Linked DNA regions of Mus musculus. The protein of the gene in region 1 interacts with the protein of each later gene in a biochemical or structural test. Links are inferred from orthologs where the notes say so. Each region holds a gene or a part of one and is shown on either strand. Other genes may lie near its edges.

Region 1 (6,823 bases):
TGCCCTCAGAAGTATACTTCTATTTCCAAAACAGAGTTGACCATACTTTGTATGTTGAAATTCAGCTGACATTTAGTATAATAAGTAAGAGTGTTTAAGTGTCTTTAAATATTTCTTTGCTTATTCTAGAAAGCTGGGTGGGATAGAGCAAATTGTGGCAAAAAAAAAAGTAGAAAATCATGGAAAACTACATATTTTTACAGTTACTCCCATCGCAAGAGGTTCATTATAAACTAAAAGCAAGAACAAATGCTTTGAAAGGGAACTAAATAGCACGTGTGCTGAATTAGAACTTTCACATTTAAGCATTAGTAACATTCTATTCTTCTGTAAATGGTATTTTGAAGTGTAATATTACAAGATACAAGAGTAAAGGTACACGAGCCTCGGCCAAGCCTGATGACCTGAATTCAATCCCTAGACCCACACAGTGGAAGAGGAGAACCAACTCCCACAACTGTTCTCTGGAATCTATCTGTAAGAAAAAGCTTCTGTAGGTGGGTAACAAACATGTATCTTGCTCACACACGAAAATAAGTAAAACGCAAAACTCTGTCTGAAGTGACATTTACTGTGACAAAATCACCACCACCACCACCACCACCATCATCACCATCATCATCTTTGATGATCTCCATCATCTAAAATATCCCATGTAACATTCTTGGGAGAAAAATGTTTTGAGAATCACGTGCAATTCATTTCTCCTCAGTCAGTCAATGGAGCCCCTTTTCTCTAAATTATTTCTGAAAGTGGCTACCTACTGCATCAAAAGATTCCAATCTTCCAGGCATGGAGCACTGCTGGGGAGGCTAGGGAGGAGGACCTTCATTTCAAGGCTAGGGTGGGAAATACTACAAGGCAAAATCTGATCTGAAAACAAAAACAACCTCTCAAACCAAACCAAACCAAACCTGTAAACTCCCCCCAGGAGATCTCATGCTTCTCCTTAGCACACATTCCTTGCACAAGAACAAAGATGACTTAGAATTTACTAAGTATAGCATGTTAGCCAGTATTTCCAAGCACGTATCTATTAAAACAGCATAGAAAACACTAATAGATAACTTGAAATCATATCCAGATCTCTGAGTGACCTGTATTTCTTGTTTTAAGATCCTACAAATTAGTGTAGGCCTAGGTGAGCTTTCCCTAGCAGAGGTGAGACTCTAACAATGACGTGTAAAAAGAAACTCTAGAGTGTAGTAAGAAACTCTAGAACAGCCCGAGTCATTTGAAAGAGTATCTTATATAGACTTTTCTATGACATATGAAGAAGGGCTCTGAGAAAGACGGCTACAAATCTATAAATTGAAAGACCGTGCTATGTGTAATTTATTGTCTGGGACTTCAACTAGAATTTTGTTCCTTATTTATAAATGTTTCCAGGAATATTTAATATTATACTTCCTAAAGTCTTTGTCAGTTGCCTTATCTATTACTTTTGAGCCTATCAATGGGTTTTTCAATCTGCTTTACATTTCTCTGTGAACAGAAAAACTGTTCACAAAGCAGAATTCTATAGCCCTTTACACCTATCTACTGGGCAACCACAGTGGAGCACATTCTAAATCAAGGGACTTAACTGACATTTTGACAAGTAAAACAGAAGCAGAAACTAAGGCAAATAGGAACCCTCTGAGGCTTCCCTCTGAAAACTGCCTCAATAGCTCTGTTTCCTGCCCTGTAATGTTCAGCCATTTGTTTTAAAGCATCCTAAAGAACTCAGGAAGGCAGCAAACCCAGACTTCACTAACTTCTGCCTCTGGACTCTTGGAATCGGACAGGACAAAAGCACTGTTGTTAGTGGGTTCCTTAAAAGTACAAATGGTCCTGGTAGAGCTGGCTGGTAAGTACTATCAGAAAAGGTCAATACAAGGTTACTTAAATGCTAATTTTAAGGAACACACAAATAACCGCCAAGTCTCCAACTAAGGTGGTTTCCAGTTTACACTAAAAACCTAGGTGGTTAAGATTCCTTAAATTTATCAGATGAAACACTATAACCATATAAGCAATCTTCTATACATTTAAGTGTTCCATTTTCAAATTGCTCAACAGATCTCTTAACAAACTTCAGAAAGGGGATAGGTTGGGGAACAGAAGAAAAAATATCTAAAGTCTCACTTTCGTTTTCTGACACACCTACTAGATTTAAAATCTGGGGGCATTACAAAATTAAATTAAGTGTGTAAATGAAAATAATGCTATTACAGTTCTAAATCTCATACAACTTAGGAAAAGAACTTGTAGAAATAACACTTGATTTAAAGTTTTCACACCTTCCATTTGATACCAAAAGTGTTTAAAAGATTAATTGCCCTCAGAGTATTTACTACAGATGTTAACTGTGAAAAAAAAAAAAAAAAGAAAGAAAGAAACCCAAAGAAATTATATGCTATATTTAGACAATAAGGAGAATGTTTCAAGTATGTGTATTTGAATACTCTGGGGAAATATGTTGTTACCTGTGAAAATGCATCATAAACCGAAACAAGAAATTGAGGAACTGCACCCTGTTCACAATTCAAAAACTTTAAATTCACACGACTAGGCAAACTCGGTTAATGTGGAGAAAAGACATTGTGCTATCTGACACAAAAGATCACCTGCTACGAAGACAAAGTAACACTCTACTACCCGAAAGTAAAGAGCCTTTGAATCAAAACAGACAACCTTTGATACACAAAAGCTTCAATTCTCGGTTTAATAAAGCGTCCTGTGGATGAGATGCTCAATATTTGTTGATGGAAGAGTGCTGGGGCTAAAACCAACGAGCATATTGTGAGTAGTGACTAAACATGTTAAATGTAGGTTAAGTAAAAACTATCCCCTCCCTCATCATTGTTGTCTGACTTTGTAAGAGATCTGCACATATAAACATAATATATGGCGAAGTGAGTTGATGACTTACAGTATCTTCACCACTCGGAACATTTTTCAGAAAGTCCTTTGAGGTTTTAAGATTCAAATACTATTTAAAAAGAATTATTGTTTCAACTACCTAACAATTACCTAGACTTCTTCCAGACTTCATTTAACCTGTAAGTAAAATGAGCATCTTTAACTTTTCCACAGGGCATTTGGAGAATGAGTTATTACTCATAAACGCTTTCGGAGCCTCAGACACCAGCGCGGTACATCAAGCGTATCCATCAATTTGAGGGCTTTCTGGACCTCAGTTTACCCACGTACGGAAACGGGCTTGGCAAGGGCCGGGAGGTGAAATTAATTAGTGTTTTTAAAATGCTCTGAGATTCCCAAGATGAAAGGAAACGTAGAGGCACGCAGAGATGATGACAATAATCATAACAATAAAAAGAATGACTAACTTGGAATTCTGTGTTACGTAAGGAAGCTGAGAAGTTATCAGATTCACACAAACAAAAGAAAAGCCCACCGCCCCTTTGTTCCCCTTCCACTTCGCCGGCCTGCAGCCTGGCCGCGGGAGCGAGAACCGGGCCGCCGAGCTGGGGCTCCCCTCCGCCGCGCACCCGCTCCAGCCGTGGGGGAGGGCGTTCCGGGCAGCTCCTCACAAAGGCGCTTCCTCCCTCCGCGCGGGATGCGGCGCCGCAAACTCTGCTCCCCGCCGCCTCCCCGCGGGCGGGCGGGCGCGCAGGCCGCCGCGCCGCCACCGGCAAAGGCTCGGAGGAAGTTCCGCGCCGCCGGCCCTCGCGCCCCCGTTCGCCGCCCGCGCCGCACTCACCGGACGACTGCTGGTGGCCGGAACGCCAGCTCGGCCCGCCGCACGGACACCCGGGGCGCGGGGGCGGCGCGAGCACCGGTTGAACGCAGGCACCAGCGGAGCCCGCCGCCTTCCCGCCAGCCGCCGAGCCCCGCGAGGCCGAGTGGAACGCAGAGCCGAGCGCGGACTAGAGAGGGAGGCTCGGGCCCGCTTTGTGGTGAGCTCCCCGGGCTGCAGGCAGATCCGGTGGCGCCGCACGGCCGCTGCTGCCGCTGCTGCTGTTGTCGCTGCCGCTGCTGCTGCTGTTGCTGGCGCTGGAGAAGGCGGCGGCGGCGCCCCCGACGGTCCCTCCGCCTCGAACCGCCTTTGGGTCACTGACACACACTGGGAAGGAGGGACCGGGACTAGCGGGAGGGCGGGGCATAAGGGTAAGGGGCAGGGCCACATCGCGAGGCGGTGCCGAGAGGGCTCTTGGGAACTGTAGTTCTCTTTACCGAGAGAGAAAAAAAAAAGTATCTGTTGTGGAGGAGCCTACTGCTGGCTCTGCGCTGTGCACGCGCAAGGGGGTTGGGGCGGGGACTGTTGCCATAGTCACCCATTCACTAAGCCTGAAGGTTCTGGACTGTAGTTGACTAAACAAGGCTGGTCTTGTGTCTTTGGTGCCATTGGGTTCCTGCCCACAGCCAGTCCCTCCTGCTTCACCCCACCCCCAACCACTTCCAAGTGCCCAGTGAAATCTAACTTCCTCTTGACATGGCAGTCTCCTTGGTTGTTTAGATTTCTTCTGCAAATCATAAATACCCCCTTCCTTTGCCTCCTTCAAGAGAATTACCCAAGGTACTAAAAATCTACTTGTTCTTAGTGTTTTAACAATTAGGTTATAAAACTGTAGGGAGCGTGACCATTAACAGAATTCTGTAATTTCTTTGTTCGGTTAGTTACATTTAATTCCAACCCAAGTTCAGCATTAACAGCATTGTTGGATCATTGTACTGCAATTTGTTCATCTGAAAATCTATAGTTCTTCAAACATCCAGATTCCATAAATATATATTCAAAAGATAAGTAGAGAGAGTTCAGAACTGTTCAATGTATGTATTAGCCGATTCAAGTTTCTCACTATCAAATTACAACATACGGCACCTTGAAACATGGTATGGGTATGTTGTGCTCAGCTAAGTCTTACACCCTTTCTAAATGACCAGGTATGCATGTATGGTGGTGTGAGAAAACACAGTACTGGCTCTCCAGAAGGTTTACAGGTAATTTGCCTCAGTTTCCCTTAATAGAGTACCTAGAACCTGGAAGAAAAAACATTAATGCCAAGGAATCAGACATCTATTTCAAGATGGGAAACTAAGGATTTTCAAATAGTCTTAGGATCAAAAACCCTGGATGCCCACAGACCACATAATTATTTGATCAATGAAGAAATAAGTAATTTAAGAAACAAGTACACGGGAGACAGAGAATGGCTCAGCAGGGCTCAGCAGTTAAGAGCACTGGTCACGCTTCCAAAGGACCTGGCTTCTTTTCCAGCACCAATGTGGACACTCACAGCCTCCTGTAACTTCAGGGAATCCAACACCATCTTCTGGCCTCATTGGCCCATAGACATATATGCAGGCAAGACACCTGTATTTAAAATATTTAATGTAGATATTTAAATAAAATACTAAAAAACAAGTAAAGGTATTTACTATGTGCCAGGCACTTTATTGGGCCTCAAAAATAGAGCTGTAAAGATATAAAAGAGACATACTTTGTATTCATTGTCCCCTCTCTCTGCCAAGGAAGAGACAGATAAATGGACTCAGTGTGATCTATGCTGTCATAGGAAAATTCAGACTACCTCAGACTCAGGCAGGGTCAGGAAGTGCTTCAAAGATCATTTGAATGTGGGCTGACTCACGGCTTCCACGTTTGTGTATTTTATTGGCAAAGGTGGAAGAGAGCAGTGAAGGAGCAGGGAGCTCGAGGACACAGAGGCTAATGGCACATTTGCTGGCGGTGGCAGAAGCACACTGGGGAGAGAGGCATGAGGAAACTTCAAGAAAATGAAGGAGACAGCTAAGCCCATGAAGGGTGGGGGTAATATGCTAAAGAATGTCATCTTTTTTTTATTTCTTCTGGAAGCAGTATTCAAACATGAGTTTTTGATAAGATATATTTGAGAAGCTTAATGGACCCTGATCAGGGTAAATGCGCATTCATATAAAAACTACCACAGGACTTATGAGATGGGTCAGTGGGGTTGAGTGCTCACTCTTAAGCCTAACAGCCTGAATGCCAAAAATTGTAAATATGTAAGATCCCCCTTCATCAAAAACATTTTAAAGATAATTTAAGGCAAAAACAACAATGTTGAGGTTTGATCTTGCTCTCTATTGTAATGCTAAATGTGGGCCCCCAAGACTTGGAGTCTGTACATAGACTTGTGACCCTACCCCCAAGTTATTTCTGATCAGTAAATAAAGATGCCAACAGCCAATAGCTGGGCAGAAGAGACATAAGTGGAGTTTAGGCTTCTCAGGCTTGGAGTCCTAGGAGACAGGGAGGAGAGGAGTGCAGGAGGAGGGAGGAGAAGCCACCATGGGTTAAGTGAGCCATAAAAGTGCAACCCTGGGGGCTGTCCAGTGGGAGTTAAGAGCATCCCAGATGAAACATAGTAAATATTAAGTAATAATTTGTATTTATCTATAAGAAAGTAGATTCTAATAGCATAGAAGGTAGATAGCTGCCCAGTTCTTGTGCTGTTTACGGCTTATTATAAATATAAATGTAGGGGTTGTTCTGATGCTCTGATCAGGAATCTTCATGGGAACCTGAAGGTCCTGTCCCCAGTTGGTTCTTGATTGATCAGTAAAGATGCGAGCTGCCAATGAGCTCGGAGGAATAGGCAGGACTTGCAGTCTGCCCCTCTCCCCCAGCCTCTACCCCCCACTCCACACAGGCAAACTAGCAGATCAAGGAGAGAAAAGATTTGCCATGCTTCAGATGGGGAAAAAAACATCAGCCATGTCAGATCTCAGGCAGAGTGGCCATCAGCTTCTTCCCCAATTAGGCCTGGGGTAGCAGGTGGGATATTAGAAACATAATCAAGCTGAGGGCAGATTTAGGACGCTGAACAAGGAGAGG
Region 2 (7,081 bases), on another chromosome or scaffold:
AGGCAAACTGACCCAGCGATGTGTGAGTTTTCTCATCTAAAAGTGAACGTAATAAATCAACACTTTCTTCTTCACATTTAGAAGTCACACTGTTGACACTGTTTTCTTTCTCGGAGTCAGACTGATGGCTCCGGTCACCATCCGAGCACCCGGGCAAGTCAGCAGCTCCTTCACTATTTTTATGTTCTAAGGATACATTCTGAATATTTAACTTTGGCTTCTTGACAGAATTGCTCGGTTCAGATTGTATTTTACTAATTTCATAGAGAGATCCATCGGTGGCCTTACTGACTAACTGTCCCTGTTCATCGATCTCGATAACAATGAAGTCACTGGGTGAGGTTTTTATGCTGCCCTGAAAGCCCACGTGATCGTTGATGAAACACAAGGAGTTAAACCTGATGCCACCATCTGTGTCCTCTGCCATCCTTCACGGTGCCTACAAGAGAGACCGCACACTCAGCTACCAGAAACGCTTGCAGATAAGAAGAATCAAAGCGGTCTCCAAGATCCACTCAGTTCTCTCCCTCTCAAGTCTATGCTCCCTAGAAGACACTAACTTATTTTATGGTTCGACTTGCCTACAGCAAGCAGAGTTGACAGGCCAATTTTGTGACCTAAGTAGCAATTTGTATCTTGATTTCCCATTCACTCCAAGCTCCTATTATCCAGAATTAAGATGGGTCAATTTGGGGTTGGAGAAATGTTGCCTTAGCAGAGGACCACAAGTTCAGTTCCCCAGCACCCACATGGCAGCTCACAAGCATCCCTAACTCCATGTCCTGGCATCTATTGTCCCTTTCTGACCTCCACCACCCACCAGCCCCCAGGCACACCCATGGTGCTCATTGATACATATACACAAAGCACGTATGATAAAATAAATAAGCCTACTAAAAATGTTTAAACTTGTCAGGAGGCGCACACTTTTAGTGCCAGCCCTTGGGAAGCATAAGCAGGTGGATCTTTGTGAGTTCGAGGCCAGCCTGGTCTACAAAGCAAGTTCCAGGACAGCCATGGCTACACATAGAAATACTGTCTCAAAAAGAAACAAAATGCACAGCTACACAGAGAAATCCTGTGTCAAAAACCTGTCTCAAAAGCCGGGGCGTGGTGGCGCACGCCTTTAATCCCAGCACTCAGGAGGCAGAGGCAGGCAGATTTCTGAGTTCAAGGCCAGCCTGGTCTACAGAGTGAGTTCCAGGACAGCCAGGGCTACACAAAGAAACCCTGTCTCGAAAAAAACAAAACAAACAAAAACAAAAAACAACAACAAAAAAAACCGTCTCAAAAACAGACAAAATGTTTATATTTGCCAGGTGGTGTGATATACACCTTTAATTCCATCTCTCAGGAAGCAGAGTTCAAGGGCAGCCTGGTCTACAGACCAGGGGATAGCCAGAAGCCAGGGCTATACAGAGAAACCCTGTCCTGGAAAAACAAACAAACAAAAGTTAAAAAAAAAACAAAAACATAAAATGGGTCAATTTCAAGTTTATCTGAAAAATAGTATCATTAGACCTACAAAGAAGGGAGAAGAAAATAGGACTGTTGTTACAATGATTGTCATCCTCAGAACCTCAAAATCTCCTGGAGCAAACTTCAGAGACTGTGGTAGTGTTTTTATACATTGGAAATTAGATCACGAAGAAGGATAAGAAAGGAAAGTCTATAATAAATAGTTACGTGAACTTCTCTGTACACTTCAAGGTCGGATAAGTCAGTCCTGGTCCCTCATCTTGTTCTAAATTCTCTACAGGAAAGATACAAACATCTCAAGCTAATGAAAGGGAATTTCTACCAAGTCACTGGCATAGAAGAAAAGAAAGTCTCATGGTGTTTTCTTGGAGCAGCGGCCCAAGGCCAATTCTATAGGGAATGAATCACAGTCCTCACACAATCTACTCTCTCCACGACACACGGAGCCCTGAGAGAGCAGCTTCACTGCCTAGCTCTTGTATTTCCCAGACTTTACAAGTAATTGATCATCTACATCCTCAGACATTTTCACCCACCAATAATCTAATCTATAGGATTCATCTATAAGCTTTAGGAACCTGTTTTCTTTTCTTTCACACACACACAAAGAAAAAAACTGATTTAATTTCCTGTATAGCATGACTAGCTAATGTGTTCATTATTTACTGTCCATCTTCTTCAACTTAAAGTGTCAGTTCCACATGAGCCAGAATTCTGACTAGCCCATATTCAGAACAGCACCAAGGACATAGTAGGTCTGCAGTAGATACTAGTTGAACAGATACAAGTAGAACACAGTAAGAGCGTTAATGGTGACAAGAAAGAAAGAAGTGTTAACTTTTGTCTATGATAATCAGGAATGGTATATAATAAACTGCTACTTGACTTTGGAAATAGTTCAAGAGACAGAAGCGGGGTAGAAATACCACGTGCAAGTACAATCAAGACGGGCACTGGGGGGGGGGGGGGGAAGGGGGAAGCCCTGACACAGAGCAGAGGGGATAGGGAGAATACAGCTGAAGTAATGCTGACAAGGAAAGATAGTGAACACCCTGTCAAAGGTTGGCATCTGCCCCCGTGGAGTTGTTTCTAATGGCAGATGGAAATCAGCAGTCAGCTCTGACCAAGTCCACAGGGGTCCTCGGAACCCTAGGGATTGTTGGAAAAGAAAGACCATAGGACGGCTTTCCAGGCTACACGTGGGGACAGTGCAGCACGAAGGCATGGCAGTCAAGCAGCTAGTCAAGAGGCGGGCAGACAGGGCACGTGGGGGCGAGGGTGGCAAGAGCTCCTCCTCCGCTCCGCGGGGCGAGCCGAGGCTGCAGAGGGACTCCCACCCCAACCCCACCCCGCTCCCTGGGCGCCGCCACCACGCCTCCCTCCCCGGTCCAGCAGTCTTGGATCCACCGGTGACCCGGCATCCTAATAGACTCTGTGAGCTCTACCTCGCTTCCGTGAGAAAGTGGTCCGCCGAGTGACACAGTGCGCATGCCCAGAAGCCTTTCCGCCGCCTAGCCTCTTACAGGGACATTTAAAGGGACAGGCTCCGGTTGGTGTAGCTCTTCCCTGGGTGGAGCTCGGGGAGGGAAAGGCGTGGCCTTCCGGATTGGCTCCGCCCCTATACTCTCACCCTTAGCTGACCTGCCCTCCCTGTCCCACAGGGGGATATGATGCCCCGGTGACCCGCAGCATCCCGATCGCAGGCAGTCTGAAGTCGCCTGGTGGTCCTGCGTCCTCCACCCCCGAGTCCTCGCCGGACCGTGGCGGGACGCCGATCGCCTTGTCCAGGAAGCGAGGGACGTCCGAGAGGAAGTAGGTTGTATGAGGAAGGCTGATCTCAAGCCACGATCTCTCCGCTGTCCTCTGTCCCGGGCCGGGTTGGTGATCAGTCGCTTCGCTCCAGAACCAGGAAATGGGCGCACTCGGGCAGAGGAGGCTTGGGGAGCCCCGCAGCCTCTGTGCGCTGCTCTGCCGCCGGAGTGTCTCGCTTGCTCGCTATGGGGAGCATAGGAAGCTAGCTGTAGTCAGACAGTCCAACAGGTAGAGGGAGAGGTAAGCGCAAGACAGATTGGAAGCAAGAGAGGGGCAGGAAAAGCATTCCCAAGAGAGCAAGAAAGCACCATTAGCTTTCGGAATGGACACAGTGGCCCCAAAGCAGGAAATTTAAAAAAAAAAAAAAATCGATTTTTCCGTTTCTGGGAGTAATTCTTCAAGATGTATGCCAAAGAGCTCAGGGTTTTTTTTTTTAATTCTCCTATTTTCATGCTAAACATTTTTGCTTCCTACATGTTTCAAGACTGATCTGATCACTCCGGCCAAACTTGGGCCTCCCAGTCTTGTCTTTGTTGTGTTCCCTGTTCAAACAGAAACAAACAAAAAACAAACAAACAAAACAACTTAGGAGATGAATTCGCACTCTACAGTAGCACAGACTTCTGTTGACTGCACTGCAGACAACAACGGACTGAACCGCTGAGCCTGTAAGCCAGCCCCAATTGAATGCTGTCCTTTATAAGAATTGCCTTGGTCATGGTGTCTCTTCACAGCAATGGAAACCCTAACTGAGACAAGTCACCAACTGGGAACCAAGTACTCAAATGAGGGACGATGGAATCCCCTCCTGTTCAAACCACCGCAGGCAGCGTTTAACAGACTGCCAAATGCATTCTCAGCTTGCTACCTTCTTCCATCATTAGAATAAAACTCCCCTGTGTTCTTGCCTCCCTTTTCTCCCTATTCTTCCTAACGTTTTATTTTTCAGGCACCTGGATTAATATCTGTCACAGATAGGACATGTCTTGGTGAATGGATGACATTATACATTTTAGTATACCCAAAGCGTTTTAGTGGCCACTGAAGTATGTCAGTGTTTAGAAATTGTGGACATCTCTCGGCATCTCAAAGGTCTTTTGGCAGATGCATCAGGAACAAACGGGGCTGCTGTAGGGTGAGAGGCATTGGGACAGCTAGTGTAGAACATGGTTGTTTGGGTATGGGGGAAGTTCAGACTGCGTAAAAGTATAAGGAAGAAGTGACCAGGGGGAGGGGCCAGAGTGGGAAGAAACCAAAAATTCTTATATAGGAGGAAGCTTGCTGGGCTTTTTGTTTTTGTGGGGTTTTTTTGTTTTTTTTTTTTGTTTTGTTTTTTGTACTTTGTTGTTATTGTTGTTGTTTGTTTTACTTTGCATTTTTTTTTTTTTGGTCTGTTCCCTGTGTCTTTGGGCCCCATCTCAATCCACAAGCATTGTTCACAGAGGAGAGGGCACAAAGGTCACCCCTAGCAGTCAGGTCTAGTCTTTCAGAGCACTGTAGCAGCCAAGGAATTGAGCTGGTCCCGAAAGGTGTTAAGCGGCTTTGACGTGTAAGTTTTTCTGAGCTCTGATGGGACAGAGAGGTTAACGGACACAGAGATGGCGTCAGCCCAGCTGCTTTAGTTCTGAGTCCTGGAAACAAGGTCTAGAAAGGTAAAGAGGGTTGGGCTGGATGGCCCATTGGTCTCCCCAAGAGGTCAGAGGTCATCCAGCTGATGATCCATTGGTCTCCCCCAGAGGTCAGAGGTCATCCAAGCTGATGGATGGCCCAATGGTCTTCCCCCGAAGTCATCTAGGCTGCTCTCCAGTGCTTAGGGTTTCACTGATTCAACTGCTTCAAGGTGACAAAATGAGCGATGTAGAAGGGACCTTAGGGTGCCTCAAAGGATGATCTATCCCAGGAGCCACAATAAAGCATAGCAGATAGAAGAGATCCAGAGCATAAGTCAGGAGGTGATAACTGTACAGCCTTGAGGGGAGCATTAGGAGGCAGGGAGCACACAGTGGGACCAATCTGCTCACCTCATGCTATGGAGAGAGGGGTAGAGAGAAAGAGGGAAGGAAGAAGGGATGAGAGGGAGAACAGGGTCACATCCTTCAAGGCATACCCCTAATCAGCCTTTCCATCTAGGTGGGTCTCACCTCCTAAAGTTACCACTGATTCCCAATACCCCATGAAGTTAAGACTCCATCCATGGATGAATACATTGGTAGATAACAGGAAAGCCTTCATGATCCAAACATGACGTCTTCTCCCCCGTCTCCGCCCCCAACACTACTATAATAGTGACAAAGCCTTCCAAAGAAGAGCTTTAGGGAGATGTTTCACATCCAAACCATACCATACAACACCAGTATCTACAATGTATAAGTCACATTAATGAATAAAATGAGTTTGGTCCTTAACTTGCGGAGCTTAAAGTCTAATGGCAGAGAAGGGTGGTAAACAAGCAACTAATCACATGACTACAAATACATTGTATAGTGGTGAATGGTTATTAGGTTGGGGAAAGTCAGCCTATTTAGGTGTGACAGTCAATGAAGGCCAGAGAGACATGAGTCCTAGCATAGAAGCCTGCATGCAAACATTCTTTTTCCTGCCTTATAGCTTTTATATGCTGTGCCATTTGGGTATATGACTCACGTACCCAAGATTAATTGTATTTTAGAAAATGAAAATGTATAGAAAGAAACCATTGAAAGAGTAATACGAGTCTAGTCCTCTTGATTAACAGTTGGAAGGAAAGATTATTGTCTGCTGAGGCTAAGGGACAGAGAAAGTGCCGAGAGAGGTATAAACATGGGAAATGGTCACCTAAGACCAGGAGAGAGAAGTCAAAGGTTAAGTGGGTCCCAGAGGCCCAGTGGAAGGGCGTGTTCCCATCAGTCTGGGCAGTACACAGTACAAGGAGCACGGGGAGGTGACTCTTAGCTGCAACTCTCCAGAGTGGAATAACAGGAACCAGGAGGATCGAGCGAATAAAGGTACTATCAAGGGGGTAGCCACAGTGAGAGGCCACTGACTGCCTTACAGTTAACAGTAAATCATGCAGGTCTCACAGGCTCAAACCAGTTCTTCTCGTATGCTTCATAAAAAGTAGGTGGGCAGGACATGTCTTTTAATGCTATATAAATTAGCTTGGGTTTTTTTGTTGTTGTTGTTGTTTATTTATTTGTTTGTTTTTACTTTTACCAAAGATTGCTGAGTAAAAATCTTTACTAGTAGGTGCTCCAGAGACGCCTCGGTGGTTAACCACTCTTGGTAGTGAGCAGAGGATCCAGGTTCAGTTCCCAGCACCCACATAGTGGCTCAAAATCATAAACTCTAGCTCCAGAAGATCTGGGGCCCCCCTTTGCCTCTACAGGCACCAGACAGGCACACAGTGCACGGACACACATGCATACAAAATACTCATACATATAAAATGAAATAAATACACCGTTAAAAACATTTTCATAGTAAATGAGTACTGATCGAGAGAAATAAATTCAAAGGTAGGTCTCTTGTTAATTTAATAGATTTGACTCCTGAACACGCTCCCAGGTCTCTTTCCAACAGGCTCGTTGCATTTTATAAATTTCACTTGGAAAAATATCCCAGTGTCAGGATGAAAGTTTTCCAATGTCTGTTTGTGGGGAGGAAAAGGAGAATCCTGGAGGGTGCTTAGATGCCTTTCAGTAGGAGGTGGGTCGGAGTGAAAGCTGCTCTGTGATGAGATGGTCGGATGCTGCATCTCATACAGTATAGCAGTGTATGATGGGTAGCTTCTAGATGCTGTCTCTGAAACTGT

The links. The genes of interacting proteins can lie anywhere in the genome.
Region 2: of the proteins of Peli1 (region 1) and Irak4, one has a biochemical effect on the other in vitro, tested with the Homo sapiens proteins (4 studies listed by BioGRID and IntAct). The link is inferred for Mus musculus from reciprocal best matches to the Homo sapiens genes PELI1 and IRAK4.

The regions. Positions count from the first base shown.
Region 1 is NC_000077.6:21,088,562-21,095,384, reverse strand, and holds the start of Peli1 (E3 ubiquitin-protein ligase pellino homolog 1), read right to left. Parts: upstream 4,062-6,823; 5' UTR 3,707-4,061; intron 1-3,706. UniProt on the Homo sapiens protein: E3 ubiquitin ligase catalyzing the covalent attachment of ubiquitin moieties onto substrate proteins. Involved in the TLR and IL-1 signaling pathways via interaction with the complex containing IRAK kinases and TRAF6.
Region 2 is NC_000081.6:94,540,536-94,547,616, forward strand, and holds the start of Irak4 (interleukin-1 receptor-associated kinase 4), read left to right. Parts: upstream 1-3,124; 5' UTR 3,125-3,291; intron 3,292-7,081. Other genes in the region: Pus7l (pseudouridylate synthase 7 homolog-like protein), read right to left, coding at 1-427.